Notamacropus eugenii: one gene and its partners. The protein of the gene in region 1 interacts with the protein of each later gene in a pairwise test. Links are inferred from orthologs where the notes say so. Each region holds a gene or a part of one and is shown on either strand. Other genes may lie near its edges. The genes, in order: HOMER3, PKN1, WIPF1 and EAF1.

The links.
Region 2: the proteins of HOMER3 (region 1) and PKN1 interact in binary tests that used the Homo sapiens proteins (3 or more experiments, as listed by UniProt). The two-hybrid records come from large-scale screens. The link is inferred for Notamacropus eugenii from reciprocal best matches to the Homo sapiens genes HOMER3 and PKN1.
Region 3: the proteins of HOMER3 (region 1) and WIPF1 interact in binary tests that used the Homo sapiens proteins (3 or more experiments, as listed by UniProt). The two-hybrid records come from large-scale screens. The link is inferred for Notamacropus eugenii from reciprocal best matches to the Homo sapiens genes HOMER3 and WIPF1.
Region 4: the proteins of HOMER3 (region 1) and EAF1 interact in binary tests that used the Homo sapiens proteins (3 or more experiments, as listed by UniProt). The two-hybrid records come from large-scale screens. The link is inferred for Notamacropus eugenii from reciprocal best matches to the Homo sapiens genes HOMER3 and EAF1.

Annotation. Positions count from the first base shown.
Region 1 is NC_092875.1:66,414,161-66,421,064, reverse strand, and holds the start of HOMER3 (homer protein homolog 3), read right to left. Parts: upstream 3,017-6,904; 5' UTR 2,872-3,016; intron 1,565-2,871; exon of another isoform or gene 1,434-1,564; intron 869-1,433; 5' UTR 802-868; intron 1-801. UniProt on the Homo sapiens protein: Postsynaptic density scaffolding protein. Binds and cross-links cytoplasmic regions of GRM1, GRM5, ITPR1, DNM3, RYR1, RYR2, SHANK1 and SHANK3.
Region 2 is NC_092875.1:76,500,426-76,507,746, forward strand, and holds the start of PKN1 (serine/threonine-protein kinase N1), read right to left. Parts: upstream 3,010-7,321; 5' UTR 2,943-3,009; coding exon 2,904-2,942; intron 1,272-2,903; coding exon 950-1,271; intron 251-949; coding exon 114-250; intron 1-113. UniProt on the Homo sapiens protein: PKC-related serine/threonine-protein kinase involved in various processes such as regulation of the intermediate filaments of the actin cytoskeleton, cell migration, tumor cell invasion and transcription regulation.
Region 3 is NC_092876.1:236,944,815-236,952,572, forward strand, and holds the start of WIPF1 (WAS/WASL-interacting protein family member 1), read right to left. Parts: upstream 3,003-7,758; 5' UTR 1,656-3,002; intron 1-1,655. UniProt on the Homo sapiens protein: Plays a role in the reorganization of the actin cytoskeleton. Contributes with NCK1 and GRB2 in the recruitment and activation of WASL.
Region 4 is NC_092874.1:38,508,190-38,515,371, forward strand, and holds the start of EAF1 (ELL-associated factor 1), read right to left. Parts: upstream 3,013-7,182; 5' UTR 2,772-3,012; coding exon 2,669-2,771; intron 2,455-2,668; exon of another isoform or gene 2,253-2,454; intron 2,059-2,252; coding exon 1,964-2,058; intron 462-1,963; coding exon 325-461; intron 1-324. Other genes in the region: tRNA N(3)-cytidine methyltransferase METTL6, read left to right, coding at 4,667-4,939, 5,594-5,728. UniProt on the Homo sapiens protein: Acts as a transcriptional transactivator of ELL and ELL2 elongation activities.

The DNA of each region.
Region 1 (6,904 bases):
ATTTTGGGGTCAGTATCTCAATTTGAAAGCTGCCTCTGCTACTAATTACTAATACGACCTTGAATGAGCCCCCAAGAGGCCTCAGTTCCTTATTCTGTAAGTTTAGATAGTTGGGCTGGATGACGCTGTTGTCACTCCCTAAAACGTAAGGCCTCCAACCCAGGTCCTGGAGACCAAGGAGACTGCCCCAGGACAAAGTTCATCCTGCCCCCTACACCACATCCCCCCCCCCACAACACTGACTAACACTTGGTTGTTCATGGATCCTCCTTCAGCCAACCAACACACAAGCCCCACAGGCTGGCAGGGGAGGGAGGAAAAGTGAGGCAGAGCCTAGGGGTGGTCCATGAAGTATTCCTCCCTTCCCCTAACTACAGGGCAGGGATGGAGAGAGACCAAAAGCTCTGAGGGCCCTGTGGGGCCTAGTGAAGCAGTAAAGACAGCTAGCTGGCCTAATCACTTTCATTCAACACTTATAAAACCCTTCCTTATACCTCAGACATTCTACAATGCTGATGGGGCCCTTGAACCTGTACTATAGGTTTTATAGGTCCTGAGCAGAAAGATACCACAGAAACTCCCTCATTCAACCCCCTCATTTTATGGAGAAGGAAATAGACCCCTGAGATATTAAGCAGTTGGTCAAGGTCACACAGGTGATAAGGCATATACAAAGAACTCAGTCCCGGGTCCTGATCTTAAATCCAGCATTCTCCTTATTACCAGTTTTCCTGCCGGAACCCAGTTTGGTAATACCACCTCCCCCACCCCCAGCACACACATATACACATGCAAACACACCCACAAACCTGCCGCCAGGGTCTAGGCAGGAGAGAGAGGGGCTTAAATTGGCTAAAGCCTGTGGGTCCTGTGAAGAGAATGATCCCAAGGGAGTCTGGGGTATTTCAGCCTGATTGAGGATTCCCTTCACCCAAACCAGACCCTCTTTTCCCTTCCCTGCCTTCCCTCCCTCCTTGCAGCTGTGCTGGTCACATGGGCACAGCCTGAAACCGGACCCCCTTCCGCCCCCACCTTGGGGGGCAGCCAACCCCCATCCTTGTATGTTGCCACCTCCAACCCCCACCCCTTCCTGCTTTCTGCTTCCTGTCAAGGTTTCCCAGAAGGAAATACTGAACTGAGACCCCTGTCTATCCTACTCCCCCTTCCTTCAGGCTCCCTGGGAGCTTTCCCACCCCTGGTGTTCCCAAATGAATCACAAAGCCAGGCTCTTCCCCATCTGGGCTCCCCATCTCCCCTCTCCCCCACCAGTGCTCCTGGCAGGGCTGGTGAAGTTGGCTGCTGAGCAGGGTGAGGGGAGCTATCCCAAAGGGCAGCAAGCCCCATCCCCCTCTCCCAGCTGGCTTGAATCCACTCCCAGGACTCTCTTTGGCTGTTCAGTTGTTTTGAAAAAGTTCTTTGGGGTCAAAAGTCAGATCAGCTGAACTGGGACAGAAAAAACACATATAGAAATCAAGAGACCTAGCTGCTAGCTCTAGCTCTTCCAGTCACTTGTTGTACGGCTCTGGGTGAGTTCCTTCCTTTCTCTGGGCCTCAGTTTCCCTTTCTGTAAAATCAGGGTGTTGGATGAGAGTCCCTTCCAGATCAGGCATTCTGCAGTTTGATACCCTCAACCACAAAGAAGGTAGGCAAGGGGGAGATCTAGGGGTCTACTCATTCCAAACTCCTAGAGTTTTGACACAATGTACCAGGGGGTCAGGGAGCTAAAATCCCCCAAGAGCCCACAACCCAGTATGGAAAGAGAGTTCATGCTGGGAGATCTGATTACCCTGGGCTGGGGTCAAGCTCACAGCTTCCAGGAGCCCCTGGAGTGAAACCCTTTTTCTCAAGGCTCAGGGTCATAAGGTCCTAGATATTGGGGCACCCAGTTTCCTCCTCTCCTGACACCTGGGCTGGGCACAGAGGGGGTGGTGCCCACAGTGGAGTTGGCAAGTTGAGGCATACAACTCGCCCTGGGCAGAGGCGTTCTCAAAGATGGGGGAGGGAAGGCTGCTTCTCGTAGTCCCCCCACCCTGAATCGCCCCCAATCCAACGTGCCCAGGCTTAGGACGAGAAAGTGTCTCAGAACAGGGGGCCTCATGCTGCTTTGGTTCCCCCTTTGGCTTCTTACTTCCCCTACTGTAACGGGGACTCCCCCTTGCTTCCTAAGGTTTTCCTCTAATCTTTAGCCATAGAACTGGGGACCCTTATTCAAACTGCCCCTCCATGTTCTCCCTTATCTTTTAATCCTGGGACTGGGAACTCTTCTTCTTCCCGAGGCCCCCCTATCTTCTCTCTTATCTGCAACCCCGTGGCTGGGAACCCTGCCTCTCTCACCTTCTTCTTCACCTCCAGCTCTGTAGCTGGGGACTTTGACTCTGCCTGGGTCCCCCCTATTTTCTTCCTCATCTCCCCCGTGACTAGGGATCCTTACTCTGGGTCCCCCTATCTTCTTCCTCATTTTTAATCCCGGGGCTGGGAGCCTTTACTGTTCCCAAGGCACCCCCCCTCCCGCGGTCTTCTCCTTCATCTCCAGCCCTGGAGCTAGAGACCTTGACTCTGCCAGGGTCCCTCACCTCCCTCATCTCCAGCCTCGAAGCTAGATAAGGAGGATGGGAGGGGGCGCCTCTCCCACCTCGGTCTCCCCAAGCCTCTCCCTGCTCCCCAGCTCCCAGGAAGGGCTGCGCCCCCTCTGTATCCGCGCCGGGCTGGGCTGAGAAGAGCCAGGCTGGTCCCTGGGGCAGCCAATGCCCCGCGCTCCCCACCCCCCACCCCCGCGCGCCTCCAGACCCGGGCTGCCCCCGGCGCCCCAGCCCGCGGCACGAAGGCGCAAACTTTGGGGAACGCCGAGGGTACCCCAGTAGGCTGGCTCACCCGCTAGCTGCCCCTGCCCGTGCTGCCCGGACCTCCCGCTGGCCAGGCTCCCGTGCGCTCCCGGCACCGCGTCGTTCCAACTTCGGGCCGGGGCTCCGAGCGCGCTGCGCCCCCGGCGGGCGGCCTCAGCGCCGCGCCCTGCCCCGCGCCGCCGCCGCCTCCGCCGCCGCCGCCGCCCCGCAGTCTTTGTCTTCCCGGAGCGCCCGCCCCAGCCCCAGCTCCAGCCCCAGCCCCAGCTCCAGCTCCCCAACGCCTCCGCCTCCGCCCGCGGCCGCCAGCCCCATAGCGGTCCTGGCCCCGCGCTGCCCCCCCGACTTTATCTGTCTGCTCTCGGGCCCGCTCAGCGGCGCCACCTGCAGGACACCCGAGCCCCGCCCCGTGGGGACCGGTCACCTCGTGGTCAAGGCTGGCTCCGCGTGGCGCGGCGTAGCGGGCAGCCAGGGGCGCCGCGAGGGCGAGGAGGAGGTGCGGAGGCGGCGCCTCCCGGCTCCAGCACATGCCACAAAGACAGCCACAGCGATACATTGTATCGAGAGAGCCGCGGGGAAACACTTACGCAGTGCCGGCCACATAGTAGGCGCGTCGTGTTTACTGGCTGACTGAGAAAGAGACCCTGCCCCGAACCCTTCAGTCCCAACTTTAAAGCTCCTACTGGGTGCTTGGAGCTCAGGAGGCTACTGAACATGTGGGTGTCCTAGGGTACCCCTCAGCTGTAGACAGTGCCATGCCCGCTTTTCAAAGCGCTCCCTCTCTCTCTCTCTCTCTCTCTCTCTCTCTCTCTCTCTCTCTCTCTCTCCTCTCTCTCCTCTCTTTCTCTCCTCTCTCTCCTCTCTTTCTCTTTCTCTCTCTCCTCACACTTCAGTGTCACCGGAGGCCCACGAACCCCCTCTCTCCTTTATCTAGGCTTTACCAGGACACAGAATTGAAACTCCACCCTCCGGCCCTTAATCGCACTGAATCCTGTGTCCCTTCTCAGCTTCCTGTATGTCAGTATCAACTCCCTTACCCAGACTGCCAGTTCCCTGGGAAAGGGCCCAGAAGAGCTTTGGCTTTGGAGTTGGAGGACCTCAATTCAAATTCCTTATATTCCTGATGCTTTCTGGGTATCAGGTTCCCCCTCTGTAAAATGTTCCTATCATATTAGAAGGTCTCCTCAGATCCCTTGTAGCTCACTCTTAACAATTTTTCCAACTTCCTTTCCTCCACAGTATGGCCACTCTGGGCTGGGCTGGTTGGGGCCTCTCTGACTGTATTTTGGAGGTCCCCTTCCCTCCCCCCAAGATCCTGTGCCTTTCCTCCTTCCTGCTGCTGCTTAATGCTTTCCTTGCTCCTTTAATTTTTAACAAATTTATTTAACAACTGTGACATACAAGTGGAGGCCCTGCCCTCTTGGGCTCACAGCCTCAGAGGGAGGAGAAACCTAATACGAGAGATAAAGTGGACTGCAAGTTAAGGAGGAGTGGTCTGCTGGAAAGAGAGTTGGGTTCAGAAGCAGAACTGGGCAGGCCCTGTGGAGGCCACTGAGTGACTGTGGGCAAGTCATTTACCTTCTCTGAACCCCCATTAGTGAGGGTCGGGGTGTCTACCTTCCATATCCCAGATGAGATGATGTATAGAAAGCTCACTGAAAACCCTGAAGGGCTACAGCTCTTAGGTTAGAAGTAATTTATTAGGACTTTGGCCCAATAAAGAGGAGGGTTCCCTAGTGGGTTGTAATTGGGCCCCCTGCCCCCACACCCCTTCAGACTCATTTCTGTTTTTTCTGCTCTCCCAGAACTACAATGACTTCTTTTCTCCTTATAGATTATTAATACCATTCTTTTTTTCCTGACAAGCAAAATGCTTCGGGGAAAAGAGCTGCAGAAGGGACTCATAAGGAAGGTTTATAGACTTATGGTGTACTGCAAAGCATAACGGACTTGAGTCTACAGGATCTGGATTCAAATCCTGACTGCCACTTACTGCTTCTGTCATCTTAGACAAGTCACTTCAGGGTTGGACTAGGTCCCTTCCCTAGGGAAGGCCTGATCACAATCCCTTGGTGAGGTCACTGTGGACTAAGGAGACCCTAAGGAGACCCCTTCTGGGTGCTAGTTTTCCTCTTCTGTAAAATGAGGGGACAGTCTGTTCCACCTCTGTCACAGGGTTGACACGGGCAGATTAAGCATGACAAAGGCTGTAGATTTGAGCTATGTTGTGTGCCCTGGAAAATGCTAGCCACTATCTCTAAGCAAAAATTCTACTGAGCAGGGCCTCTCATCACTTTTTAATGGGTTTTGATGAAATCTGGTCCGTGGGCAGAGGTTACAGAGATATGTGATTGCATTGAGAGAGGCCCACGGTTCACAGAAGCCTCTAATTTTAATTTGTTTACAAGGGGTATTTTTAATTCTTGACAGTGTGGCTTTTGGGGAAGATCATTTTAAATTTGCCCTCCATGTTTGCCTTCCCTGGTCTCCGTATGACACATTGCTGAAATCAGGTTCTTGTCCTGATTCCATCTGTAAGGGACTTGAGTAAATCAGTGGCCTTCTCTGGCCCTCAGCTTTCCCTTCTGTGAAACAAGCACATTCAATAAAGGATCTCCAAGGTCCTTTTGGGTTCTGCTGCTAATATAATTACTTTAAGATATCTGGTCTGATCTAAGCCTTTCTCCCTCTCCCTACACACCTGATCTATTGCTAACTTTTGTCTAGTCTACTCACACAAGACATCTCCCATCTGGCCTCTCCACTCAGTCACTGCCCTGCTTCAGACACTCATCACCTCTCACCAACAGTATGCCAAAATCTGTCTTCTGTGTTCTTTGTTCAAGGATGCCATCCAACTCTGACTTACAGTAATCAAAAACACTGTCACAAGTCTGTGAGACATGAATTACAACTGGAAAATATGTCAACTCAAAAAGACAAGCTCAGGGGACCCCTTAATACCCATTACAACCAAGGCCCAATCCTGCCCCCAAATCCCATCCTTAAAAACTCTTCACTTGATCCTTCCATCCCCTCCAGCAATCACCTATTCAAGGGCCAGGACCCTGTGACCCTGATGAAACATGTGGCCCTCTAGGTCCTCAAGTGAGGCCCTTTGACTAAATCCAAACTTCATGAACTTCCTTTTATTAAGGGGATTTGCTCTGTGAAGTCTGGATACAAAGGGCCTCACTTGAAGACCTAGAGAACCACATGTGACCCCCAGGCTGAAGTTTCCCCAGCCTTGGCCTTTGATCCCTTTCAAAGCCAAACTCCTATAAAGTTGTGCCCACTCCTTTGTTGGCCCTTTGGGATCTGGTTTATAACATGTCGATGTAAACTGCTCTCTCCAAAGTCACTTAATGATCACTTATTTGTTGAATTCGATAGTCTTTCCTCAAGCCTCACCCTTGTCTCCCTTCTCCCAGCCAGTGACTCTACTGACCACCGTTTCCTCTTTGGGGATCCTTTTCCTACTACCTCTTGCCCCTCCACTACTCCTCATTCCCATCCGCCCCACCCCTCCCATGGCGGTGTCCTCTGTCTCTGCACAGCTCCCGGGGGTCTGCTCTCATCTTTATGTCAAAGAATCCGAGGTCTTTATATCCAGAATTATTCTTACTCTTAAGTATCACCAAAAGTGGAACAGCCAGATCCAGCTGGATCAGAGAATCAGAGAATCTGCACCAGAAGGGCCTTCAGAGGCTCTGTGGTCCAACCCCCTCACTTTACGGAAGAAGAAACCCACTCAGAGAGGTTGTGCTTTGTGCTTTGTCACACAGCTCTGAGTGCCAGAGGTGAGAATGAGGCTAGGTCTTCCTAACTCCCAGCCCAGAACTCACTAGCATTCCAAACTCGACATGTCCAAAAGGGAACTCATCATCTCTCCTCCCGCCTCTGCCTGATTTACCCCCTTCCTTCCTGACCGTCACCCAGGTTCACATCCTCAGTCTTCTCCCTGGCCTCTCCACATCCACTTGTTAAGTTTTGTGCAGTCTACTCACACAAGCCACCGGCCTCTCCATGCAAGCCGCCATCACCTCTCACCTGGACTGTGCCCA
Region 2 (7,321 bases), about 10 Mb from region 1:
TCTTGGTCAAGCTAAGGTTCTCCTAGCCCTTCCTTCCCTGTCCCCCCAGTCTTTAGCAGAAGAGCTTAGGGAAATGTGCTCCTTCCCAGCCCCAGCCTCCACTGTGAGCTCACCTTGGTGTTGCCATTGCTGTAGGTGTGGATCATGTTTTCTGCCCCTTGCTTGACCTTGAGCTCGATGGTCAGCTGCTTCTCCAAGCCCGCCACCAGACTCAGACTGGTGGCCGAGCAGTTGGGGGATTGAGGACCATCTGGGAAGCACAGAGAGGGGAGAAGTCAGAGTCACTTCTGCCCAGTACCTAGCCAGGAATTCCCTGGGTGGGACTGATTGATCCTGGGATACAGCAGTCCAAGCTTCCCTCTTTCTTCCTGGGGTGCTAGAGATTTCTCTCCCTGAAAAGTAAGTGGCTAAACTGGGAACCCTAATGTCCCACTGCCCAGCAGCTAGGTGCTTTGCTTCTGCTCTGCCTGCCTGAAGTCTGAATATTTCATGGGGAGCTGAGGTAAGGGGAGCTGCTGGTGTGGTTTCCACTTTAAGCCAGAAAGACAAGCTGGGGGCTGGGAAGCTGGAGGTCTGGAATCCTGACCTGTCTATGCCTCCCCCCGCCCCCCCCAAAAAAAAACTACCAGTATTTCCTGGTAGAGACAAGAGTTTAGAGACTAGACCTAGGTTTCTTACCCCTCAGCTCAAAGGACAGCCTTAGGAGATGAGGAGTGGCCGTAGGCCTCTCCCATTTTATAATCATCCAGAGATGTTACATAGGTATCTCTATAGGGCTCCTGGACCAACAAGAGCCTAGTCTTCTTTTCTCCTTGGAGCCCCTGGCATTAAGATTGCCCCAAACCTGGACTCTTCCTCACACCCAGCAGGATTCCCCCCAGGGCCCAGTGTCTCTGCTGTCTCTTAGCTTTTCAGGCCACTTCCCCAGGGACCTTAGCACCTTGCTCACCCTGGGCCTGGCCCAGCTGGGGCTGGGCCTGGCTGGGTTCATGCAGCACCACCAGGCCATGGAGCTCCTGCAGCTGGCTGTGCAGCAGGTCCAGGCGGCGGGTGGAGCCCCTAAGCAGCAGCTCCACTGGCCCCAGGCTCCGGCCAAGGTCTGTGGTTGCCCGCCGCAGGTTTTCTGCCCCCTCTTTCAGCTTCAGTTCCTTTCGGATCTCCCGCCGAAGCCGCTCCACCTCCAGCTCCAGTCGCTGCTGTACCCCTGGGGCTGCCAAGTCTGCTCCTGCCAGGCCTAGCTGCTCCAACACTGACCAGCTCCCGGGCTCGCTCTGTGGAGAGGACAGAGAAAGGCCATAGCTCAGCGTGCTGGGGACTCAGGATCCCAAAGAACCCAAGGGGACAGGAGGAAACACCTAACTGGGGGGGGGGGGGGGGACCATGTTCAGCCTCCTCAGCCTTACATTGATGGCAAGCCCAGCCTCATGGGATCACAAGATTGAGAGCTGGAAGAGACAGCTTGGGGAGCACCCCATCAAATCCCTTCGTCTGAAGAAGCAGAGACAGTGGAAAAGGGCTTAAATCAGATACTTGGATTGTGAATCCCATATCTGCTATTATGTGACCTCCAGCAAGTCATGCCTGTTTTCATCCACCCCCACCCCAACCATCTCCATAAAATGAGGGGGTTGGACCAGATGACTCTTAAGTCCCTTCCATTTCTAAATGCTATGCTTCCTCAGCATTTTAAAGCTCCTGAACCTGGGTTCCCCACCTTCACAGACCTAAAGATTATTAACTAGAAAGGACCTTGACAAACCTTCTTTCATTTTACACAGGGGGAAAGTGAGGCCCATAGCAAGGAAGTGATTTGCCCAAGGTCACATTGTAAGTTACAGATCTAGGGCTTGAACCCAAATCCTTATACTCCCTTCCTACTTTTCTCTGTGCTCCCCCAAATTCCCCTTCTCCTACCCCAGAACAGGCTAGACTCTTTCCTACCTTGGCAGATGCAATTCCTTCCCTTTCTCTCTATCCTCAGAAGTGAAATACCATTGCCTCCAGAAAGCTATGACTGACTACTCCAGCCCTTTACCCTCTGGGGACCTATGACCCTTTTAAGCTGAACCCCATCCCTACAGTGATTCACAGTTTTCAAGAGAGGGAGGCGGAGAATAGGGAGTCTGAGCTCCCCTGCAGACTGGATAAGGCCAAGTCCCTGCCTCCCAGCCAACATAGCCCTACAAAGTCCTGGTCATATATACCATAGGTGCTGGGTACAGACTTCTTGGATGGAGGGGCCCAAGGACCCATCTCTGATTTGATCGTTGACCTCAAATCCTTTTCTACTTGGTGCAAAGGGCTGCCTTCCTCCCCCTCCCCATCCCAATCCCCTGGAACATATTCTTTCCCCAAAGCTCAGAGAAGCATTAAGTCAGAATCAGGCCAATGGTAAAGGCTGTGTGTAACTGGGGTTCCAACAGAAAAGAGGTGTCAGGGTCCTCAGTAATTTTGGCTCAAGTGGCAATGCCAGCAAAGTCCTGGAGGGAATTACTCCAGATGACCCAGAATTCTGGTGGAGAGGTGATTCCAATAAATCCAAATTCCTGCCCAGGAGTATCCCATGGTCACCCAGGATCCTTGTTGTGACCAACCCTCAAGTCTGACACTGACCAAAAAAATTCCTTAATTGTCTGGGGCAGGGAAGGGGAATGGCAGATAGCCAGTTGGTCCGTATCCCACATCCTGTCATCAACTCCTACTGGACTGCCCAGCCAGACCCCTACCTAGTGGCCCCAGAAGGAAGCTATGTCATTGGCCCTGGCCTTCCTGGGTTGATAGCAGCTAGGGAGTGAAGTGGGGGAGGAGACAGACAGCTGAAGAGGGTAGACAGATGGTCCCTATCCCCAGGGCTTGACTGTCCAAGCTCCAAAGTCCCCCCAAACCCTGGCCCTGTCCCCCACCTCTAGCTCCAGGTCCGAGGGGGGCTCAGCTTCCGCCATCCTGGGTCCTAGGGCGGCTCCGCCCTCTCTTCCTGGCAGGGCCCAGAGCTCTGTGTCTGCTACTTCCTCTTTCCTGCCAGTCCCAGGCCTCTCTATGTGGGCCCCCCTGGGGGAGGGGGAAAGGGGACTAGAGAATCAGGGAAACACTGGTGAGGAAGAGCACCCCTCTGCCAGACACAGAGAGGACCAACCTGCTAGATTCCAGCTACAACATCTGGGGTCCCCCAAAAGAAGAATAAGTAAAAGGGTGAGTGAGGGTGGTCCCCCCACTTCCTCCTGCTCTAGGTCAGACTTGGGTCATCAGGCAGGGCTGGGGTAGTGTGTATGATGATGCCTCCTGGTGGGCCTCTTCATCTACTGCATGTCTCCACGTTTGGCCATATGTCCTCATGTCTCTATAAAGGCACAAAGAGGCTGACCTTGGTCCATGGGATTTAGGAATCACATGATTTACAGGCGGACTAAAAATCCTCTAGTCCAATTCCTTTATTTTACAGAAGGGTAAATTGAGGCATAAATTCGTTAAGTGATATCCAAATATACCAAGTAAGAGGAGACAGAATTCAAATGATCTCTTTTTGACTCTAAAACCAATGTTCTTTTTGGCATAATACCACTTTTGAACAGGGCTTGCTCCCCTTTCCCCTGAATCCTGACTCTTCTCTTCCCATTCCCCTACCCCCATACCTAAGACCTGTCCTTCCCCATCTCCCAAAGCAGACTTCCTGTTTCCTCCAAGGCTGCAGCCCACTTCCAGCAGCCCTTGTGATGAGCTGGGTCAGTTACTGGAGGGAACCTGGGACCCAGAGCTAGAAGCCACCTTACAGATCATCAAAACCCAGTATCCTCCATTCTGTCACTGAGAACTTAGTGACTTTTCCAAACACAGCTAGTAAGGGACCCAAGTAGGATTCAAATCAGCCCTTTCTGAATCTAAAACTGGTCTTCTCTCTCTCCCAAGACCACTCCATAATTAGTCTAGCTCTGTGAGTCCTAAGGCTGGAGGTTGGGTTCCTCTGAACTCCACATCTAATGGGGTGACTCTGAGTTCAGGTCACCTTCCAAAGGAGGGCAGAATTGGGGTGGGGGGAGAGAGGAGAAAATGGTTCCCTCCATTGTGATTGGGGTCCCTTCCCTCCTCCACCCAGCATGGAACCCAGGAGCCACACCTCCTAGCCTGCAATGTGACCTTCTTCCTCTCCCAGCTGCCAGTCACCCAATCCCCCAGGGCTGGGGCCAGCTGGGCCAGGCCCCACAAAGGGCCTATTCAGGCCACACACACCCCCAGCCTGAGCAGCACCCCCCACTCTACCCCTCATCCTCATTCCATTGTTCTAAGCCTGCTCCTTAATACCCCAGGCACTGAGGCCCATGCCTTAAATGAGCAACCTCAGTACTATTCCCCAATTCAAGAGCTAGACCTGGGCCTTAGGATCACAGATCTATAGAAGGAAGGGGCCTCAGAGGGAGGAAACTGAGGGCCAGAAAGGTTGTGACTTGCCCGAGATCACATGGATAATAAGTATCACAGGCAGGATTCACAACTCAAAACTATAAAGCTACTGTATCAAGATTCTTCTTCTAGTCTCCCAAATACACAGCCTATCTCTCCAAGCTGTCACTTAGAAAAAGAGCAAATGTTGATGGTAGAGTCTTTGTGAATCCCGGGACTTCTAAGTCCTGCTAATATTGGGACCCAAGAGTCCAGGCTCCTAACCCAGCCAGCTTCATTAGGGAAGAATGAGGGGAGAGAAGACTATCTTTCTTCCTCCCTCACTAACAGGATCATGAGGAGGAAGGAGGAAATAAGCTGGAGAGGACCTTAAAGATTATCGAGTTTACGCCTGATTTTATAGATGAGGAAATGGACTTAGAGGGAGAAGTAACTTGTCCAAGATCATAGTAGTAACAGAGCTAAGACCTGAGCCCAGGCCTCTTGGTTCTAATTTTAGTGCTCTTTTCATTACCCTGCTACTCCAGCGGGAGGCAGAGAGGCCCTTGGAGAGGACAGGGATGGGAAGGGGCATTGAGTTCTCTTAGTCTCCTCCTCTTCTCACAGTGCCTGCCTTCTGTCACTGATCAGACTCCCTCAGTCCTCCTTTCTAGGGCCAGCTGAACTCAGCTGTATAAGCAGCAGGGCTGGAACCTGGTGACCTCAGTCACCCAGGAATGTGGGGCGGGGAGAGGCCACTGGGCCTGCCCCAATCCCTACTCACTCCCTGGCTGGGATGCTCAGCCTTTGGGGCCTTGGGGCCTAGCTCTGCAGCTGCCCTGGGTTCAGTTGGGGTCAGGGGGAAACTTTCCCCTTCCTCTAGGCCAAAATTGTGGCTGGATTCAGGATAGGACTTAGAGCTAGAAAGACCCTTAGAGACCATCTAATCCAACCTCCTCATTTGACAGTGGAGAAAACAGGCCAAGAGAGAAGGGACTAACCCAGGGGTTCTTAACCTGGTGCCCATGAACTATTGGTGTTTTCTAAAAAATATATTTTTATTACTGTATTTCAATATAAGTAGATTTCTCTGTAGTTGTATGCATTTTATTTCATGCAGTTAAAAACATTATTCTCCCTAGGCCTCACCAGCCTGCCAAGACTGACCCAAAAATGGTTAAGAGCTGCTGGACCAACCCAACGCCACCCAGCCAGCAAGTAGCCAAGCTGGGATGGTCAGTTCTATCTCTCGGAATCACCACTTCCTGCAGCAAGGTCCCCAGGTGGCAGCCATCCTCAGCCCCTGAATCCAAGCAGTACTTTCTTCCTCCTACCAGCCTGTACATCAGTCCAGGACCCAGGCATCCCCACCCCCAATGATGTCTGGCACTTTGAATGGTTCTGAAGCTTCCTGAGCAGAAACCGGACATCCTGAACCCGGACATGGTATAGACAAACAGACAGACAAGTGTTAGCATGGAGACAGGCAGACAGAGGGACAGGACAGGCAATATGGGGGTTGGGGAGGCCACTCAGAGCCAGTAGATAGGGAGGGAAGGAAGGAGATGATTGAGCTGGGTGAGTATAGGGCAGCAGGTCACTCAGATATGCTTGTGGTTCTCCTCCTACCCTCAAGGGCCTTGACAGCTAATTAACCCCTTGGCCCTGGGGGGGAGGGGGGGTGTTGGTGTTGGTGGTAGTGAGTCATGGGGAGGAGGGGCTCCTTCCTCTCCCAAAGACCTAAGCATCCTGAATACACAGATCTAGGCCCCACCTTCCCCCATTGTGGACCCAGGAGTCCTGACTCCAGGCTCCCTTCTCTAGCCCACACACTTTCCGAAGTCTGACATGGGGTGAAGCTCCAGGCATCCTTTGTTTTTATCCTAGAATGGGGGTTGGGGGAAGAGAAAACAGGGGAACCCTGCGGCTTTCCCCAGTTGCCCTAGTCCCATCATAAGGGTGGGGATAAAAACAGTTGAAAGAGGAATAGGGGGAGTTGGGAAGCCACCCTCTACCATCTGTTCTGGGACAGAAGGGCTGGGCATAGATTCTCTCCTTTCTTACCCCAAGCCCCACTTCAGCACCACCTGAGAGTAGACTCATAGTCCCTGAGGGCAGCTATGGTATAATGGGAAGAACACAGCATCTATAGTCAGGACACTGAGATTCCTGTCCTACTTTTGTCACTTCCTACTCTGGGCAAATCATTTAGCTAGTCCCTCTCAGCCTCAGTTTCCTCGACCGTAAAATAAGGATATTCCTATACTATTGATAATAGGATTTAGGGCTAATAGGGCTCTTAGAGACCATCTAGTTCAGTCCTTTCATTTTCGGAGGAAGAAACAGGCCCAGAGAGAAGTGTCAGATAGGTGGGAGAGCTGGGATCTGAACCCTCTGATTCCATATCCCAGGCTATTTTCTGTCTCTCAGAGGGAGTAAGTGATAAAGTGTTATACAAATATGAAATACAGTTAAGCCACAAACTCTCAGGTTCAGTTTCCTCCTTTGTAAAATGGAGATAACCATACTTGTGAGGATTACATGAGATAATGTATGTTAAGCACTTTGTAACAATAACATTTATATAAATTTTAACAACTGAGAAAGCACTTTGCAATCCATAAATGTTACATAAATATAAGCTGATATTATTATTATTATCATCAGAAGAGAAGGGGAATTTAGAGACTATCTAATTCAATTGCCTTATTTTATAGATGGGCAAAATTAGGTCAGTGGAGGCTGAGTCATTTACATGAGGTAGCATGGAAAGTTAGGGACAAAATTGGGACTAGAACCGTGCTTCTGACTGCCTCTCTTAGCGATCTGGTGTGGTGTCTAGAATCTTCCTCTTCTTAGTGTCCTTGGGGGTCAGGACTTTGCCTCAGGGTACAGATCTAGATCCAGGCACTAGCCTTTCTACTTTAGAGACTGGCCTGGGGCTGCC
Region 3 (7,758 bases), on another chromosome or scaffold:
ATGGTCATTTTCGAACTTCTACAATGACATTCTTCACACCTTTCACATCCTACTGGTCACCACTTCAGCCACCCTTCACCTTTATTTACCCATTATTTATCTGAGATTCACAATAACAGACGTGATTATCTCCATTTTAGAGATAAAGAGACTGAGGCTCAGATAGGTTAAAGGACTGGTCCATGATTGCACAGTTACTAAGTCCCAGAAGCAAGATTTGAACACAGGTCTTCCTGCTGCCAAGTCCAGCACTCTATCCACTATTTCCCTCTTCCTCTCGGGTATAAGACTAAGAGGGACAAAAATGAAACAAGAGAGGGGTGCCCAGATCTAGCCTGCTCTGACCAACACCAGTTGTCTAGGGCTTGCCTTCAAACAGACCCACCCTTTGTTAAACTAAGAAGTTTCCAAGTCTAATGCCAGTTCTGCATTTGGACCACCAGGCAGAATTCCTGCCTGGGTCAGCTTGTTTCCTTTTCCTGGTGAGAGCACTGACAATTAACTTCTTTAAATCTTTGGAAGATATTATTAGAAAAAAGCAAAAGAAAGAGTAAGGAACTGGAGAAACAAATGATTGCAGAGAAGTCTGGGAAGAGTATATCCTATACTTTTGAAAAGTGCTGGGTAGAATTGGCAGTGATTTTAAGGTCAGTGACCATATGCACACACACATGCATACACGGATACCAGCAGATGCAAAGAGGGAACGTTTGGAGGAGACATTCAAGTAGGCAAGAGTCCAATTTAAGGAAGGAACTGAGGAAGGTGATGTGTTAGTGGACTATACAACGGAAAGTAACTGTTTCATTTTAAAAAAAGCTGATGGGGATGCTGTACAAGTCTCTTTTAGCTTTTCTCCTCTTTTTGGTGCAGGTAGTGTGCAAATTAGCTCTGGACTCGTTATGCCTCCGCCCAGAGCAGCTCGAGTACTGGATTTTTGCAATCTCGCCCTATAGTCAAGCGGAGCCCAGGAAGGGTTGTCAGTTTGCTTTGTCCCGGAGCGCAAGGGCAGCACCACAGTCACCTTCTTCCTAAGATCTCCAAGTACCTCTTGCCCTGCGGTCCCCGGACTGCCCCATCCCGGCCAGAGGGGAGGAATCAAGAAGGCGAGGCCATCCGAGAAAGCGCCTTGCCGGCAGCCAAAGGAAAAAGTTAGCCACTTTGTGAAAGCTGGATGAAGGAGCTGGGAACACATCTGGGAGAGCAGGGCCTGGGAGGGGACTGATGTTATTCAACGAAACCCACTCTTGGAGTAAATAAGGACTGTTTCGACATCTCTCTCTTTTTTTCTTTTCTCCTTACTTCCCACGTCACTATCTCCTTCTTCTCCCCCCTCCCACTGATCCCCAAAGTAGTGTTTCCAAATCCCCCTCCCAGTCCGAGGGAAGGAGCAGGGCATTCACTTCTGCAGATGTGCCTTGCAGACCAGAGAGAGGGTCTCCTAGCCAGATGCTGCACTCATAACCTCCAGGCTGCGAGGGCTCAGCCCGACCCCGAAAGCCCCGCTTGCTGACAGGCGCGCACAAATATTCATCCAACTCCCCCTAATCCCCCACCTCGCCCCACCTTCTGAGCTGGAGCCTGGTTCTGAAAGTGGGGGCGGGGGCGGGGGGAGAGAAGATAAGCCAGGACGAGGAAGAAAACGCGTCTCTTACCGGGTGTGCTCCGCTCCTAGAACCCTCCCCGCGGGCTCCCTCCCGGGATGAGGGCGGCGGTCGCAGCTGCAGGCGGCGGCTCCCGCTTGTTCCCCAGCAGCTGCAGCGCACGGGGCATTTTTCTCTGGAAAACTTCTCCCCGGCGGGCAGGAAAAGCTCTCTGCGCTCGGAGGCTACGACCATCCGGGAACTTCGCGGTGATGTAAACCCTCCCACTCCAAACATTACCTCCCCCACCCCCCTGCCCGCCCCTCTACCGGCCCTGCCACATGTGGACTTAGCAGGCCGCTGCTGCCGCCGCTGCTACAGCTGCCACTGTGGACGCTGGAGACCGCTTCTTTCCTGTCTTCAGTCAACAAACTGTTGAGCGCCTGCCGTGTGCGAGGCACGGAGGTTAAAAAGGCGAAGACGTCGCTGTCCGTCTCCTCCAGGAATGTATGGTCCCGTAGGGGGATGGCACATGTATTCCCATAACTAGTATTTATGGCATAGGAGACTGGGCACTGGGGCTTGGAGTCCGGCAGACTTGGGTTCACGTACCAGCTGTGTGACCCTGGGAAGTCATTTAACCTCTCTTTGCTCTGTTTTCTCATCAGTAAATGAGGCGGTCGGATTTGATCTCCAAGGTCCCTTCCAGTTCTAAATCTACGACCCCACGTTAAAATGTGATGAAAGGATTTACAGAGAGAAGAAAAACAGAAGGGTGTGAAGAACCTGGGGACCTTGGAATCTTAGTTGGGTGGAGAGAGGAGGGAACAGGGAAAGGTTCTCGAAGGGGGTTGAAGGAAGAGGATTTCCAGAGAGAAGAGTCATAGTTTGAAATATCACAGGATTTGGAGACAGGAAATCTGAGTTTGAATCTGTGTTCCATCACTTTCTGCTTGCATCACCTTGGGCAAGTCACTTAACAATGACGGGTGGAGAGACACTGTCTCAGTTTCCTTTTTTCTAAAATGAAGGAATGAACTGTATGATCTTTAAATTTCCTTCTACCTCTGACAGGGAATGTGGGGTGGTGGAGGTGAGAGATGCTAGGAAGAGATTCGAAATAGCTATTAGTTCACTTTAACTGGAATAGAGATAGGCATGAAGGGTTGTGTGACGTAATAAATCCGGAAAGATGGGTTAGAGCCAGTTTTGAATGCAGGATAGGGGCCTTGAACTTTATCTCCTTATATCAATATCCCGCAGGGGCCTTCTTCAGAAGCAGCTCATTTGGGTATGGATTGGGGGAACAGGAATGTAAAAGCTCCATGTGCCTCTTTGTCTAGGTGAAGAGTTGTGCACACTGAATCATAATCTGAGTTGTCCTAAAATTTTTTTTCTGAAAAACTAAATTGTATCTTTTAAAAACTTATCCAAAAGAAATATAGATGTCTCCACATCCAGAGAAAGAACTTGGGGGTCTGAATACAGATGAAAGCATAATATTTGTTCTCCTTTTCTTTTGTTGTTTCATTTTGTTTCTTCTTTCTCATAGTTCCTTCCATTGGTTCTCATTCTTCTTTGTATCATGATTAATATGAAAATGTTTAATATGAATGTATAAGTGGAGCTTATATCACCCCATCTTGGGGCGGGGGTGAGGGGGAAAGGATAGGGAAGAAAATTCAAAACTCAAAATCTTATGGAAGTGAATGTTGAAAACTAAAAATAAATTAATTATATATAAAAAAGTAAAAAGAAATATAGATGTCTTTCAAAGTGGAAAAAAATGAGAAAAATAATTTGTTTTGATGTAGCATTTGATAATAGTCCTAATGAATTATTAGAAATTATTATCCTTTTACAAATAAGGAAACTGACTTTCACAGGGGTTATGTGGCTTGTCCAAGGGTCCCACAGTCAGTAAGTCCATGGCTGGGATCTGAAACAAGGTACCTCCTGACTCTAAGTCCTGAGCAGTGGAAAATGATAAGATGTTTTGGAGCAAAGGGAGTAACATAATCAGACCTATGCCTTAGGAAGATTATTTTGCTACCTCAGTGTAGGATTAATTGGACAAGGGTGAGACTGGAATGAGGTAGCTCAGGTGTATAAAATAGTATAGTCAAAAGGTGATAAAAGTCTGAACTAAGATGGTAATGTGGGAAGTAGAAAGAAGGGAACAGATGAGACATTTTGAGAGGGCAGAATGAACAGCATTTGACAATTGGATATGGGAGGTGAGGGAAAGGGAAGAATGAAATATAGTTGATTTGAATGAACTTGGATGACTTGAGAAGATAATGGTATCATTAATAGAAACACAAAAATAAGGAGGAGGGATAAGTTGTTGTGGGTTTTTTTTTCCTCTGGGAAGCTTGAGTTCCATTTTGGATATGTTGAGTATGAGGTGTAGGAAGGTCATACAGGTAATATGGCAATATGCTTGAAGGTAGATGTTGGAGCTGGAGATTTAGATTTGATTATTATCTTAGTGGGAATGTTTGAAACCAGGAAGTAGGTGAGATCATGAAGGTCACTTTCTAGAAATTTAGCACTGAAAAGGAGGATAGAGAAGAGGAGGGAGTCATAGATAGAACCTTAGGGGATAACCACACTGAAGTGGCTATTATAGGATGAAGAAAAAAACTAGTGAAGAAGCCAGAGGAGTAGTCAGAAAGGTAGGAGGAGAACCAGGAAAGTACATTGTAATGGAAGGCAAAGGAAAAGAAAGCAAAAAAAATGGAGATGCTTAAGAATTGTTTTTTAAGCAAGAGTTGATAAAAGGTTTTGGTTTAGGTCAATTGGAATATCATTCTTGGGTTCACAGAGAGTAGTTTCCCTGGTGAGGTAGGGATGAAAGCTGTATTTCAAGGGATTATTGAGAGATGCACAGGTGGTAAGGAAGTGGAAAAAGTGCTTGGAAAAAAAGTTTAGCATCAAAAGAGAAAAAAGAGATGAAAGATGAAAGAGAATTGCAAGGTAATGGCAGAGACAAGGATGTGATCAAGAGTTTAGGTGGAGTAAACCTGGACAGTGAAGAAAGAAGTCTACCCCCTTCACTCAGGAGGGAAAGAGAAAAGGATGAATGAAGACAGAAAAAGATTTTTCCATGTGAAGGAGAGATGAGAGATTTCATGTAGGATAGCTTCAGTCTGGGGAAGGCAAGGTCATTTGTTGAGAGAGAAGATGGGTAAAGGTTAGGAGTTTGAGAAATTTACTGGGCAGTCCATCAGAAATAAATTTAAATATTATTATGCAGTAGTGAGGGCCCAGTTAGATTCAATAGCATGAATATTATGCATATTAATAGGTTTCCTTTAGCAGCTCTCAAGTAATAATCAGAAATAAAAGGGGAAGCTGCAAATAAGGTGATGAGGTGATCCAAGGTTGAAACAACAGAATTATGTTATTAGATGATTTAAGCATGGGTCACGATGCCTCGTTTTTGAAATGACTCACTATTATCACTAATCGTCAAGACTGATAAGGGACATCTTAGACCTAGAATAGGAATGGACTTTAGGGAGATGAAACTACAATGGGGGTAGTGATAGGAGGATATAATTGACCTCAGGGTGAAGGCAAAGAAGAGAGTCAAGAAACGGAGGTGGAAGTATAGAAAGATAGACAGATTGTCACCTAAAAAGAGAATTTCAGAGCTCTGGATCTTGAAGGCAGATGATGTGAGGCCTGAGATAGGAGATAGAGATAGAGTAAAATGGAGATTATGGGAATTAGAGTGAAAAACTGAGACATCAATTGAACTGAATTGAATTCAATAAATTTATGCTAAACATTTACTATGTTTGGAACACAATTATTGGTGGAGATGAATACCTTGCGCTTTGGGAAGGATGGGCAGAATTGGAGAGAGTTAAGAGAACTCCAGCCTTCTCCAGTCCCCCTGTGGGGACTCTCCAAGTGAGAGTCTTTTTAGAGCTTCTATTTGACTTCGGGGAGAGAGAGAGAGAGAGAGAGAGAGAGAGGAGATGGAGAAGATGGAAGAAGCCAACCTTACTCCAGGTTGCAAAAGGAAAAGCCTCTGGGAAGATATGAGAGGTGCTTGTGGTCTCCATGTCCCTATTTTCAATTTGCTACTCTCGAGACTTTGGGGAATTTCCCTTTGGGGGAGATCTGGGACATTTTGATGGTTGAACTGTAATCTGGCTCCTAAGGGGAGAGCTCCTTCATTCTGTATTGTCTTGTATATATTCTCCTTTGATTTGTTTTGCTTCTGATTTGGATGTATGAGTTTTTTTGTTATTTGCTATGTGTGTTCATTATGCAATGGTATTGTGTGGGAAAAGGGTCAAGCCTTGGCTATAGAACTTGAGGTTCTTCTTTCTACCCAAATGACAAAGAGAACAGAAGTTAAATGGAACCTGAACGTATCCCCTATGTGAATAATATTTAAGGAAGTTGAATAGATATACTTCTGGTCCCATACAGTCTTTCTCTGAGAAGAGTATAGTGGCCTAACTTTCTGCTTTCTCTCCTGGCAGGAATGAAAATCTCCTTTGGAGAAGGGTGGGGGTGGGGAGGGGAAATAGGCTAGAGATGTCTATTCTGCCTCCTTTCAAGTCATGTATGGGTCCCCACCTTATACTTGTGAGGCCCATTCTCTCTACTGCTCTTCATCAATGGCTCCTCAGTTGTTTCATACATGTACTAGTATTCCTCTTCATTAACAAATTAGTGTTTAACCTTTATTTTACTAAACACGTGTATTTTAGAGAAAGAATGTTAGATTATTTGGGCTAAAGGAGAAGAATCAAAGATGTAAACATGCCCTACCCTCCACTCAAACTATCATACTATAGCTTTACTCTCACAGTCAACTTACTATAAACAGCTGTCTACAATTGTTGCCTCCTCTTTCCCACATCCCACTCACTTCTCAGTCCCTTGTAGTCTAGTTTCCACTCTTACCATTTGATCAAAACTATTCTCTCTCAGATCACCAGTGGCCTCTTTATTACTAAATTCATTGACTTTTTTTTTCAGTTCCCATCCTTCTTGACCTTTCTGGGGTATTTGACAGGATCGACCACCTTCTCCTTCTGGACACTCTCTCTTTCCTGGGTGCTGATGATACTCTTTTCTCTTAGTTATCCTCCTATTTATCTGATTGCCTATTCTCAACCTCCTTTACATCCATGAATATGATTATGTATATTAAATAATATGCTAAAAATTAAATAATAAGAGGAGGAGATGATCCAAGGTTGGGAATTAGCAGGTCAAGGAACAGCAACTGTATGTTATTAGATGATTTAGACATGAGTCATGATGCCTCCTTTTTGAAATGGCTCACTATCATCACTAATCCTCATGACTGATAAGGGACTACAGGATCTTAGACCTACGACCTTGGGCAAGTCACTTAACCCCAACTGCCTCATCCTGGGTCATCTCCAGTCATCCTGATGAATATCTGGTCACTGGATTCAGATGGCTCTGGAGGAGAAGTGAGGCTGGAGACCTGCACCGCCCTTCCTCACTCAAAACACAGTGAAGTGCAAGTCATGTCATCATTTCTCTGATAGCATGGTCTTCTTGGGCAATGAAGGACAAACACACAAAAAGTAGGAAACAAAAATATATTAAATATTCATTATAATCAAGTTGGATTTACAGTAGGAATACAATGACGGCTCAATATTAGGAAAACAACATAGTAACTTATTAACAATAAAAACAATTTTATAATATGTTTATACCAACACATGAATGTTTTTGATAAACTAGCACATGTATTATATTAAAAACACAATCATATCTTTATAGTTATATAATTAATGGCCAGAATATATGATCCCACAAATCTTCTAATTTTGAGCCTTCATTGGATTCCTAGTATAAATCCTACTTGATCATGATGAATATTTTAATATATATTTGCTTCTTACCTATCAGCATTTTGTTTAATTGATTGTAAAAAGTTGAATCTGTAGAGGAAAATGTCTCCTTAAAATTTTTCTTTCAATAAAATATTTCCCATGTATATGTTCAAATAGCACAAGATTCCTTGACAGATGAGATAACTTTGTTCAGTGATTCAGTGATTATAAATAAAGGTGTTGGTCACTGTCATGGAGGACATCACATTCATAGTTAAAACAAGAGAGATTTTTCTGCAAATAGTCAAAGTCCTTCAAAGGTTCCCGTTAGCATA
Region 4 (7,182 bases), on another chromosome or scaffold:
GCATCTTTCCCGGTGGAGCACAGAGCTTAGAGGGAGACAGCCTGGATTGGAGGCCCTTCTCTGACCTTCAGTCCCTTCATTGGTATCCCACAGAAGCAGCACAGCCATGGACTGAATGCTTCCAAGCTGTGTGCCCCTGAGCAGGTCACCAACATCTGGGGGCTTCGGGGAACTCGCTAGGAATCATCTACTAAACCATTTTTTTTGCTGGGAGCTCTTCAAACTAATGATATCAGAGATCCCATGTCACCAGAGGTCCTGGGATGGGCTTTGTCAACTGCCCCATGGCAGATGTGTGCTGGTATGGATTCATCAGATACTCACCTTGTCTTCTTGACCTGAATGCTGCTACTGAGTTTTTCCAACACGTATTCACCAGTGTCATGATTAATGATAAGAACACAGTCTTTCTGATAGGGTCTTTTGTTTCCTTTGAACACAGTCATTGGAGGTGTCGATCCCTATTTAAAGTAAAAGCACAAGACAGTCATCTTAAATGACACATGGAATGTGCCACTAACTAGAAAAAGGTGACTATCTTTTAAAATGGTTAGCTAGCATGAGTAACTCAGACTCATTTTAAAAAGCCCTCCCAACTAATTTAAAGTATTTCCATCCTTTTCTTACCAGTTAAAGTTGTGCATATAGAACAAAATGTACTGATTTCTGGGATAGCTTTTGGTTCCCCCTGGGGATCAAGACAAATAGTGATATGATGTTTATTATCCCTGAGCGGACTAAATGATCCTAAAACAGGGACAGTAATAATTTAAGTATTTTATTTCCTCTTCTATTAATCTGGGCAATTAATGTTTTTGCAAATATTCATCCATTTTGTTTAGATTGTCAGATCTGTTGGCATACAATTGGGCAAAACAGCTCCTAATTATTACTTTAATTTCTTCTTCATTGGTGGTGAATTCACCCTTTTCATTTTTGATACTTGCAATTTGACTTTCTTTTTTTAAATAAAATTAACCAAAGATTTATCTATTTTAATGATTTTTTTCCATAAAACCAGTTCTTAGGTTTATTCATTAGTTCGAGTTTTCTTAATTTTAAAAATTAAACAAATTTTATTAATCTCTCCTTTGATTTTCTAATTTGATATTTAATTGGAGATTTTTAATTTGTTCTTTTTCTAGCTTTTTTTAGTGGCATGCCCAAGTCATTGATCTCCTGTTTCTCTATTTTACTCATCTGCACATTTAGAGATATAAAACTTCCCCTAAGAATTGCTTTGGCTGCATCCCATTAATTTTGGTATGCTGTCTCATTAACAGAGACAGTAACAATGGACATCGGTTACATGCTACGAAGTTGCCAAAGCATTTTATCTCTATTATCTTACTGAGTCAAATCTTTCTCTGTTCTGGTCCATCCCCTCCCCCCCAAAGCTGTAGACCTTGCTCCCCAAGAATTCCCTACACCAGTGGCATCCCCATTCTGGACAAAAAAGTGCAGAGCCCCAAACTGGGCCTGGAGATTCAGGGACAAAAACACGTCTCCTCCCTCTCAAGGAACCTTCCTTCAGGTGCCCATTTTTCAGCATCTTGGGCTCAAACCTCTCTGGATCAGTTCTGCTTTGGGACGCGACACCTCGATTTGATCTCTGATCCCGGGCTCCTCTTACGGAGACGTCCTGCTTCCATCCCAGCTGCCCAGACCCTGTGGCCTTAGGCCTGCCATCTCTGTCCATCCCCTTTAATTCTGGACCCACGCACGGCCTGGGCTTTAGGTGCTTATGGGGGACTCCACCCTCCACCACCCTCCACCCAGGTGACTCCCAGCCTGGCCCAAGGCTCCGGGCAGCCACGTGTTGGTGAAGGCGGTGCTAGCCACTTTTCCTCTAAGCAGCTGACCCTTGTAAGGAATATTACCCCATTACCACCCAAAACCATTAAGGACAGACACAGCCCTGGCACAGCGGGGCACTCCCGGCCTTAGACACAGGCCCACTCACCGGGATGTGCGGCAGCGTGATGGTGACCTCGTCCCCTTTGCCCACCTGCAGCTCTCCTTCGCACGAGGTGTCTATGGACGCCGGCTTGAAGTCATCTGGGAGGACAGACACGGTCAGGCCCGGCCGGGCCGCTGACCCGGGGCCCCCTGGCGGGCCCGGCTGAGAGCTCGGACGTCGCCCTGGCTCGGGTGAGCGCCCAACACCACGAGCCCCCGCTGACGGGGGGGGCCGTCTTAGGCCGCCCCCCACACGGAGCCCGCGCGGAGCCGCCCCGAGTCTCCACGAGGAAGGCTTTGGGTCGGACGGGGCTTTTCTGGGAGGCGTAAGAGGAAAACCCAACAGCCCGATATGACGGCGAGAGAAAAGCGCGAGGAGTGACGGGCCGAGCTCCGCGACCCCGGGCCTCAGTGTCCTCCTTTGTCCGGAGGGTCCAGCGGACCGCTCCCGCGTCCGGACTGCCGGGCCGCCCCCGCCCCGCGCGGGGCTCACGGGTCAGACCGGGACGCTAAAGGAAGCCCCTGGGCCGGGCCTCGGGAGGGGGGCGGGGCGGAGGGGCGCCGGGGGCGTCTACGAGGAGTCTGTGGGGGGCGCTGGGAAGGTCCCGGGAAGCGGGAGGGCGGAGCGGAGGACTCCACCGGGGCCCGGGGCGGGGGGGGAGGGGGCTCGGTCGGGGGCGGGAGGCCGGTCCGGCCCGCGGGTACTCACAGCGGATGGTGTGGAAGGAGGACTTGGGCCTCTTCTCGAAGCTCTCGCCGAGCTTCAGGCCGTGCTCCTCGCGGTCCAGCAGCGGGTTCGCGGTGCCGTTCATGGCCCTTTCCCCGCCGGGGGAGGCGGCCTCCAGTTACCGCCCGGTCCGACCCCTACGCCGGTTTCTTCAGCGCCGCCCCCGCCCTGAGGGCCGGCCGGCACTTCCGGCAGAGGCAGGGGGGAATGGTGCAACTGGGACACCGCTCCGCTCCGAGGCTGCGGGGGCGGGGGCGACCCCCAAAAGAGGCCGGAATCTCCTTCTACGCTTCCGCCGCGCCAGGGGCGGGGTCTATGGGGAATAGGGAGGGAACTTCCGGCGTCACCGCCCCTACCGGAAGTGGGGCGGAGCAGTGCTACAGGGAAAGCGTTCCGACCGAGGCCCGGGACTGAGCACACTTCCGGTCCGCGCCTGGGAGGGTACGGGCTGAGCTGCTCTGGGACAGGGCTGCGCACCTGCTCCGCCAGCCTTGGGCCTTGTCCGTGCGCCCCCGGCCCCGGCCCCGGCCCCGGCCCCAGGCCGACTCGGCCGCTCGCCACAAGCCGGGTAGGTAAGGCCAGTTAGGGAGGTTGTGCCCATCCTACAGACGAGGAAGCTGAGGCCCTGGAGACCCAGAGTCCTCATCCCGGCCCCTCCACTGACTAGCCCCATGGCCACACGCAAGCCCTCTCCTCCCCCCCGACCTCAGTTTCCCGGTTTGTAAAAATTCTGTTCCAAGATGAGGGTGGGAGGAGCCCCGGCTCTCTGACTCTTGGGCCTCAGTTTCCTTTTCTGTAAAACGAGGGGGCTGGACCCCACGTCCCTTGCAGCTCTGCTCCCCCCACGAGCTTGGCCAAAGTGGGGGTGAGGGGCCGTCCAGCCCCCAGCCTGGCCCCTGGTACCCAGCCCTGGAAATACAAAGGCAAGCCTGCCCCCAGGGGGTAACGCTTGGACAGGCCCTCGAGGCCCTGGAGGCCAGCCGCACCTCCCTAGGGCCCGTGGTACCTGGTCTGGAAAACGTGGCTGTACCCCCTGGGGTGGGGGGTGCAGAGCGGGGTTTAGGGGGGCGGCCTGGGGTGGGGGGTGCAGAGCAGGGTTTGGGGGTGGCCTGGGGTGCGGGGTGCAGAGCGGTGTTTAGGGGGGCAGCCTGGGGTGGGGGGTGCAGAGCGGGGTTTGGGGGGTGGCCTGGGGTGCGGGGTGCAAAGCGGTGTTTAAGGGGGCAGCCTGGGGTGGGGGGTGCAGAGTGGGGTTTAGGGGGGCAGCCTGGGGTGCAGGGTGCAGAGCAGGGTTTAGGGGGGCAGCCTGGGGTGGGGGATGTTGAGGTTAGACTCCCCTCCCCCAATAGATGCCATGGTTTCCTTCTTGTTCCCACACAGTGGGTGTGACAAAAATTACATTGGCACATAGTCTGGCATATAGTGGGCACTTATTAAATACTGGATTTTTCAGGAATTCTGTTTCTGCTGAACCATCCTCTGGGGAAGGGAAGAAAATATCACCACAACAATAATAATTGCGTCTGTTTATATGACTGTGTGCCACGTACATTGTGCTAAAATTGCTTCGTAGTCGTCTCATTTGGATAAACATTTATATTGTGCCTACTGTGTGCAGGCACTGTACGCTTGTGACACAGGAAGCTATAGCCCAGCAATGAACCCGTTACTATGTCGCTTCTAATCTACATAAATTAAAACAACAGAAATAGAATATAAAATGATCACATGCTCTCATTCAACAATCCAGGAAGACCTGGATTTTTGCTGAGTGGGATTTCCCCACTTGATTTTTGGGTGATGCAAATACAGTTTTACAAATACTATCTCATTTTATCCACCTTAAAATGTTCAACTGACCGTATTCTCATTTTTATTCCTTTTTTAGCTCCTGATCCTGTTTGAGTCGGGGGAATTGCTGCCTGAAAATGAACATGAGGAAACCTAGCTAAAAGAAATTATCCTCAAAAGGGCTGCAGGAAGATGAATTCATCTGGGAATTACAAGGATGAAGACTCTTTAATGGGATTACACGTGGTAATGTCCACCAGTGGAGAGAATCTACTTCGGAAGAAAGAACAAGAGAGCAGGCCTCAAGACAGAGATGGTACAGTTGTGTCTCCCTTTAAACAGGCAAAACTAGAAAAGGAGGCCCAGAAGAATTGGGACCTGTTTTACAAGAGAAATAGTACAAATTTCTTCAAAGATAGACACTGGACCACCAGAGAGTTTGAGGAACTGAGGGCATGTAGGGAGGTAAGTCAACTAATACTGCCTGTATAAGAAAGATAGTATGTGTTTGTCTTTCGTTGCCAAAGAAAAACATGCCATCAGAGAAATAATGATGACTTGTGAGGGAGGGCTGATAAGAGAAATAAGGCCTGAATGGGACTCCTGGGGAGGAAACGTGCTGATCCAACATCCCTGTAAATTATGGTATTAGCGATTAAGTTACTCACGGGACTTAACCGAGGTCCTCCTGACTTCTGAGGCCAACTCTAGCTCAGAAGTACCAGCACCTAGTAAGCATTTAACGAATGCTAGTTGACTCTGCTTTTGTGGGCGTTAAGTAAATGCCAGTGAATGGGTCTCAGGTTTTGGAGATTCGTTAAATGCTTAGCAGTCTACTTGAAGGTGTCTTTTCTGCTGTCCTGCTGTCTTAAACTCTGCACATCTTATCTGGCTTACTTGGTGCTTGTGACATGAAAAATACAGTTGGCCAGCAAACCATTTACTCGAAGCTGCTAGTGAAACTTAATCCAACACAAATTAAGACAACACAAATAGAACATAGAATTATCACATGCTTTCTATTCAGCAATAAGACCTAGATTTTGAATAGGTGAGAATTAGCAGTTTCATTTGCTGATCATGCAAATATAACATCTACTCTTTTTTTTTTCCCCTCAGTTTGATGATCAGAAGTTGATTATCCTTGAAGCTGGCTGTGGGGTTGGAAACTGTTTATTCCCACTTTTAGAAGAAGATCGAAATATCTTTGCTTATGCGTGTGACTTCTCACCCCGGGCTGTGGAGTATGTTAAGGTTGGTATAGTAGGTCTGTGATGATACTTCTTTAAGCCCATTTATGTACATTTGATTTGGCACAATGGAGGCTAAATTAATCCTTTTCTGTTACAATTGATGTTACCAATTAGTGCAAATTGTGAAAGGGAAAATAAGTTGGTTGTATGCATATACTGAGACTCTGACCAGCAGCTTTTAGGTGGTGACCCCCTTGGTAACTGGCAGAGTGAAGGTGACAGGTTTACTCACCCACTTTGTCACTCCCGTGACCCATGACATCTCACTCTTGAATTGGAAGCACAGAGTGGCAGATAGAAGAGACTTTTGAAGTAATTTTTGCCTTAACTCCTCCCCAAAGCACAAAGCGAGCTGAGGGATCCTCAAGTGAATTGTGAAGTCTCAGTGATCCTTGCCTGTCAGCACTGATTGTGAAACATCTTTCCTTATGTTTTCTTGAAATCTGCCTTCCTGTAATTGCCCTCCATTCCCGAGGGCCAGGCAGGACGAGCCTGCATGACAGAGCTACGTGTCAGGATTCAGATGTTGGCTTGTAGCTCTCAAGTCCCCAGGGAGTACTCACTTCCTTCAGTGACTCATCTTTTGGCCTGGGTGGTACCAGGTCCCATAGCGTCGCAGTCATTGTCCTAGGACTTTTCAAAAGGGCTCCAGAAGCCTGGCAGGGACACTGAAGGGCTTTACCATTTCCTTCTCCAGCTCATTTTGCAGATGAGGAAACTGAGGCAAACAGGCAGAAGTGACTTGCCTGGGGTCACACAACCAGTACATGCCTGAGGCCAGGTTTGAACTCCCAGTGTTGAGTCTTCCTGACTTCAGGCCCAGCACCACTCTCTGCACTGCCTGGGTGCCCCAAACTTCTCCCCTTAGCTGATTTTGACTCAGGTCTTTCCTTTTCTCCCTGTAAGTTTTCATCTTGTTAGTCTCATCTTACGATCCCAGCAGAGGACTTTTGCTCCATCTTGGTCAGTGATTAATGAATATATAGATGTGAGAATCAATAAAATAGGTTTCTGAAAATCTTAGTCTAAATATTTTATGAGTTCAGGATTCTGCCCAGTCCTGGAGTTACAGCCATACTGTCAGGGTGTAAGACATACAGTCCTGGGATACCTTATTGATAATGGAAAAGGAATACTAGAGTTCCTTGGGATTCCAATACATTGAAAAACCTCTCAGTCTTAGAAGGAAAAGATCCCCTGCCAATCCTCCATGCTTCAAAGAGAATGAAAGGATGACTGTGAGGTGGACTGTGAGCATTCAGAAAACTGTCTAGGGGAGGAAGATTCACCGTGAGGCCTTCCCAGAGCCTGGAAGCCTGAAAGCTCTGCTGTCTGTTCATTAAAAAAAAAAAAAAAGCCCTCTGTTTGCCAGAAGAGAGATTCAAACTGTAAGATATATAAGAAAGGTAGTATCACATTCTGTGGGAGCAAAATGTAGAAATGACAGCAGGTAAC